Linked DNA regions of Drosophila melanogaster. The protein of the gene in region 1 interacts with the protein of each later gene in a pairwise test. Each region holds a gene or a part of one and is shown on either strand. Other genes may lie near its edges.

Region 1 (3,369 bases):
CTTGGAGTAAAGAAAATAAATCCTTATTCTTTGTCTGTGCAAACGTGCGCGCATAACATACATAAATACGAGAGCTAATTAAACGTCTGCATACCGACATTTGATAGATTGTCGACGAAAATAAAAGTTGAATAAAACATATATGTAATTTTTTGATATTTTCCTAGGTAAAACAAATTATTGGGGGCTTTAGAGGCACAATGATATTTTTTATTTCCCTGTGCAAATATTCCAATTTTTCTTGTTTTTATGTTGGCTCGCATGACATTATTTGATTAAAAGTGACAATTGTAAGCCTTGTTGGTATTGGAGTAATACCAACCGAGCTCCTAATGCTTTTGTACACTATGTATGTAGATGTTGGCATCCTGGGTGTCAACAATTCTGATCATAATGCTCACTGGCAGCTAGTCCCTCAGATTGCATACTAAGCAGAAAACCAGCGTGCGTACATAATTGGCGTGCCCTTGTCGCGCCAGTTATCGATAACTATTTCCTGCACAGTTAAACTGGAACGCAGTACGGCCAAAACAAAAAACTCATCAGTATTCAGGAGGCTGGGGGAACTGAGCTCTTGTTGTTAGCGCAAGTGCCAACTCATTGGCTTAGCTGTAAGCGTTGGGTGCTGTAATTGCAGCACGCGCTGCTGCTTTTCCCGGGGGCTAGGAACTGATGCTCCAGTAAGCACCTGACAACGTTGGCTGGTAAAAAGCTTCTGGCTACAGAAATAGCGATGCACTTGCCACAACGCAGTCTGTGTCGTCCGTATTTGGGGTCGCCCCAAGCTCCCACCCACCCAGTCCTACCCCTTAGGCCTTCCAACGAACACTAAGGCACATTTGTTATAATTATTTTTAAAGTGCACATATTTAATCAAGTGTGGATTGGGCTGCTATGCAGTAGCACTATGTATGCATGTCAAACAACTAATTAGAGCCCATTTCTTTCCTTTAAGGAATTCTTAATTCAACAGAAACAATGGTTTCGAGTTTAAGGCAAATCAAATTTTAAATAATATAAACGATACTTTAAGAATGAATATTTAAATATTTTTTGAAATTCCAATAGAAATTGGCAAATAATAAATTCAAATTAAATCGAAGTATTCAACTTTCTGAGCGTAACAATTTTTTGCAGATTTTGGGAGTGGTAATCAACTCGGCTGGTAATCTGCTTTGATCAAGAATGTATGTACAAAGGATAAAGTTAAGGATCGCTACCTTCTGTATATATACTAAGCGACAGTAAACCAAGTGTGCAGTTACTCAAGGAAAATTTTGTAGGAGATTCTGTAAATAAAATCCCTGTGAAAAACCCACCAAAGTTCAATGCACGAATCTTGACGCAGTTGCTGCGGTTCATTATTATATTGGTGTTTTGGCTAATTAAGTCATAAAATGGGAAACCCCAGACACGCACACAAACAAACACAAAATCAACGAAAAATTAATTTAAAAAAAGTATTAGATATTAGAAACACCTCTACTAACACTAGTCATATTGTAAACAGTCCAAATAGTTAGCCGCTACTAAAATCGAATAAAATCAAATTAAATTTTCAAAGTATACATACCACGTTCAAAAAGTATCCTAAGTGAATTAAATTTTATTAAATGAATACGCTCTTTGAACTATTCAATTCCGAACTCAGCAAAGTTACGTTGTTCATGAGAACATTAATTACTGTCGGTTATTAACTTTTAAACGTTTAGTAGTAGGCTTCGAGAGCCCTTTCATGGGTAGAGTTTAGTTTGTTTATCCTTAAATGTATTTCCACCACCGTAATCTCAAGCAAACACAACAAAAACACGAGAATTTCAAGTACGGAAAGCAACACATTAGAAGGACCAATGTGGAACGTATCCTCGATCCTGGAAGGGCTAGAGCATGAGCAAGGAGTAAACGCGGACCTCCGCGGCAAGAACGTGTTCAACTTGTGCGTGACCTTCTTGTGGATATTTCTGTGCATCTACGTCCTGTCCAAGCTAACCCAACTCGTGGAGCTCTTTCTGTGCCAGCGGCTACTTGGCCAGAAGCAATGGTACGACGTCCGCACGATCAAAAACGAGTGGGAGCAGACCCTCCAGCTTTATGAGGACGATAAAAGCCAGCTGGACGCACAGGTGCGCGAGTTGCGAGAAAAGAACCTGAGTATGGAGCGCTTGATGGTGGACCTGCGAGACTACAACATCCACTTGATCAGCGAAAACTATATGCTGTCCGTGATGCACGAACAGGTTAACAAAACAAACACAAAACAACCAACATATTTGAGAATCTATTGATCTTAAAATCGCGCGCAATATTATTTTCCATTCAAAGACACTGTTACACTGCTAGCCATGTTATGTAAAGATCTAATTGACCTCGAGACATGTAAAGTGTATTAACAATTCATTGTTCTTTGCTCAGAAACCAAGGCCGGCCGAGCCGAACATCTACATCACCAACAGCCACTTCCATCTCACTCGCCAGATGTTTCTGAACGATAGTCAAATCAATCTGAACGTCCATGACCATGGCGAGAAAGGAGCTTCCGGGGAGGGCAAAAATGTCTGGCTGCAGTATCTAAGGATGCGCAAGTGCTATATGAGCCCGATTGCCGATCCGAATTCGATAGATCCCAGCAGCACCACCAAGCAGATTCTCCCAATTGTTATGAGCACCGAGCAGTTGGCCGAATTGCAAGGTGAGTAAAGTAACAATTTGTGAGATGTTAATAATCGTTGTCTTTTTCTTAGGCATGATCTAGTTAGTTTTAAGTTATATGCAAACATAAATCTCGATTGTTGTATTGATCGCAAAGAAAAAAGCTCAAACAAATATATTTAAATTAATTGCTCTACTTTTCCATTGTTTTTAAACGGAAATAGCGCAAACCTCGGTCAAAACATTTGTCACTATCCTTGCAGTTAAGATAATTATGTTATTCTCACATGTTTGTTTTTCGATTTGAAACGTAGAATCTGTAGAATGATTACTGTTTGTAGCCTTTAAGCTGGAAATAAAAATTAGCTTAGTAATGTTATTTATTTCAATTCGATTCATATTCCAAATTCAATTTTAGCTCAGTGCTTTGGACCACAGATAATCGGTTTTATTTGCCTAACTACCTACCACCTACCGCCTCCCAATTTCCTAAACGCACCGCCCTCTCCTCCCTTCGATGGCCTTCGCGACAACATCTGGCGGAAACGAAACGAAAACAAAATGCAAAATATAGCTGTCTACCAGTCGGTCGTCTGTTTGTTCCAACTGCGACTGCTAAGACGATGACTTATCAAGGCAGAATTTAGCGATTGGTTCTTTAGCTTTCTTCTTCGTTCCCCCACTGTGCCAGAACTCTCCATTTTATTTTCTTTGCCATGG
Region 2 (3,171 bases), about 14 Mb from region 1:
CGCTGGCCAAAGATGCAGCTGTCTCGAGCGCGGAGCTCCTTTGCTCCTCTGCTCCTTTTGCTGCGTGGCCCTTGCATCTTCCAGGATGTGAACCCACTTCCCGGACTTTGTTTGTCTTGGAGAAGCGATTCACACCCCAGTGGTTTCGTCGAGAACGGCACCTAACTGGCAATGCTATGAACTTGGCAGCTGACTATGCTGCTCTCCATTTCGAACTAATTGATAAATGTATACTACTTAGTGGTTCTCTATACTGAAACGAACGTGGGAAACCTGGTCATTGTCGTTGGCAAGCTGCGGGATTCTGGTTCGTTCATTAATTTGTTGCAATTTCTTGGCGAAGTCAAAGTCTCGGCTCAGTTGCAGAAGATGCTTCGGTTATGCAATGGCTACGCCACCGACATCCCTTAACATTTTACGCATTTTTCCAGAAATTCCATTGTGTTGCTGCACGTGCCAAAATGTATTTGGGCGGGCTTTTGTTGGGGTGGGCGTGGCATCAAAGTGCATGCAAAATACGTGACATGCATATTGAAGTCACTTACTATTTATTTTTATTACGCAAAGCAGCCAGAACTTTTTACACATATTTTTTTTTTACTAGTTCTCCTTTTGTTGTGGCAACTTTTCCGGAAAGGTATCAGCGGCAACAGCTGAAAAAGAGGGAAAAATAGGGAAAGAAAACTACACCAGCTCCCCCTGACATGTTTAATAAATGGCAGTAGCTGTCAGAGGAAAGTCAGAGTTTTTTCTTGTTAACCTTCATTGAAACTTTACTGAAGTGAAGGTTCAATACTTATAATTTTTGCGTGGGCTCATTAAATTTCAAAAAGTTTGATATTCAATTACCATTAGGCAGAAATAATGCCAAATTTATGAAATCCATTAAATCTGATTTCGATTCGAACATCCGCATTATTTCACATTTCCATTGTGCATGTCGACCTGTGAATTATGCCTACTGCTTATCGACCCAGAAACATTTCATAGGACTAATTAGCGTCCAACGAAATCAAATTTCGCCCTAATAAACCCATAACAGCGATATCGTGTTTCGCGAAAATGCCAAATTTTCATAAAACCTCAAAAATTGATGGGCTGAGAAATAGGCAAAATGGCATCGCAATTATGCAGCAGGACTTGACAGGACTAGAAGCGACAGGCTGGGTCAGCCGAGGACACAGTTTAGCACCTAGCTATGACCATAAAAATTTGTAATTTTCCCCAACACATATTTCCTTTTTGGCAACCGTCCAAAGTATGCAGCGTGAAAAGAAAGAGGGCAAAAATAAGAAAAAAATTGTTCAGGCCGTAAATAACCAAAGTAAACAACGCGACAAGCGGTTTGGCGGAGCAGGAGGTCGCTGGAAAAGAGCAGACAAAGTCCCGGCCGCAAAAGCCAAAACTCACTGCGAATGTGAATATTCTTGGAATTTTCATTTGTTGTCTACAGTTGCATGGGGTTGCATAGTTAGGAATGTCTTTTCTCCAAAAAAAAAAAAAAAAAAAAAAAAAACTGTAGTCAAACCAAACCAAACCATTCCAAACTAAAACCCCCTTTTCCACCCACTGTCAACGCAATTTGTCGCTTTGTGTTGCTCCTGCCGCTGCAGTTGTCGCTTCATTTTTGCAACAAAAGTGTTGCAAAATATGTTGACAGGAAATGTTATGCGAATTTCACTGCGTATAAAATGAAATTTACGTGCAACTTTGCACAGTGTGTGTGTTTAGTTTTGCCGGAAAAGCTTTGGTGGCCGGCCTTTAAAAATTGTAAGAGTATATAATTGCCAATGAAAATCAATCATTGGATTCGAGCTCAATGCAAGCTGATTCAGTTCCGAGTTTTGAGACTCAATTAAATGCACGACAGATCGTACTTCCAACTGGCTCATATTGTGTACAGTAACCAGTTGATCGCAATTAACTAGCTAACTAGATACAGATAAGCTAGACGCCATAAATTAGCCACAAGCCAGTGTGTATAAAATTCAGAACCGCCTTTCTGCGAGTAACAGTTTATCGTGAGGTGCTACTGTGCTAGGAAAACCCATGTCCATATTTATCTTGAAACAGATTCTGCGAATCGTTAGATAATGCTTAAGCTATGGCTAATATGTATCTTGACTGTCAGCGTGGTCTCCATACAGGTAATCACATCTGAGGTCTGTTTCATATGGCAGTTAATTGGAAAGTATGGTTTTTATTATAGAGTCTCTCACTTCTGGAGGAAACCAATTACGTGTCAGATTGCCTGGCCAGCAATAACATCAGCCAGGCTGAATTCCAGGAACTCATCGATCGCAACAGCTCCGAAGAGGATGACCTCGAGAATACCGACAGAAGATACAAATGCTTCATCCATTGCCTAGCGGAGAAGGGAAATCTTTTGGATACCAATGGCTATTTGGATGTGGATAAAATTGATCAAATTGAGCCCGTGAGCGATGAACTGCGAGAGATACTCTACGATTGCAAGAAAATCTACGATGAGGAAGAAGATCATTGCGAATATGCGTTTAAGATGGTGACTTGTCTAACTGAAAGCTTCGAGCAGAGCGATGAGGTCACCGAAGCGGGTAAAAATACAAACAAATTAAACGAATAATCGGTCTAAAACTGGTCAAGCAACTTAATCGCAATTGTTTTATGCCAGCGGGAAATTCACAAGCAACTGTTTAGTTTCATTTCTACAATGTTCATCTACAGACTTGTATTTATTGCGCCTCTGATTTTGTTATTGTTCAGCTTGGCCAAGGTGGGATTGATATTTATATTTGACTAAGCTTTTGATTTATTTTCAACAAACTACAATATATAGGCTCGCCACCCCTTTGATATATTTCATTGGAATTGGCAAGACTTTCAGGAGTGTCTACAAGTTAATAATATTACCATAGGAGAATATGAGAAATACGCGCGACACGAAACTTTGGATTACCTGCTCAACGAGAAAGTCGACTTGAGGTACAAGTGCAATATTAAATGTCAGCTGGAAAGGGATTCAACGAAATGGTTGAATGCTCAAGGCAGAATGGATTTGGATTTGATGAATACGACCGATAAGGCATCCAAATCCATTACCAAGTGCATGGAGAAGGCTCCCGAAGAACTTTGTGCGTACAGTTTTAGACTGGTGATGTGTGCATTTAAGGCTGGCCATCCCGTAATTGA

What was found.
Region 2: the proteins of CG14589 (region 1) and Obp57c interact in a two-hybrid assay, tested with the Drosophila melanogaster proteins (one large-scale study listed by BioGRID).

What each region holds. Positions count from the first base shown.
Region 1 is NT_033778.4:6,135,577-6,138,945, forward strand, and holds CG14589 (uncharacterized protein), read left to right. Parts: upstream 1-1,726; 5' UTR 1,727-1,850; coding exon 1,851-2,237; intron 2,238-2,412; coding exon 2,413-2,684; coding exon of another isoform or gene 2,685-2,689; intron 2,690-2,741; coding exon 2,742-2,832; 3' UTR 2,833-2,835; downstream 2,836-3,369.
Region 2 is NT_033778.4:20,501,574-20,504,744, forward strand, and holds Obp57c (Odorant-binding protein 57c), read left to right. Parts: upstream 1-2,010; 5' UTR 2,011-2,093; coding exon 2,094-2,147; intron 2,148-2,209; coding exon 2,210-2,605; 3' UTR 2,606-2,629; downstream 2,630-3,171. Other genes in the region: Obp57b (Odorant-binding protein 57b), read left to right, coding at 2,693-2,755, 2,819-3,171. UniProt on the Drosophila melanogaster protein: Present in the aqueous fluid surrounding olfactory sensory dendrites and are thought to aid in the capture and transport of hydrophobic odorants into and through this fluid.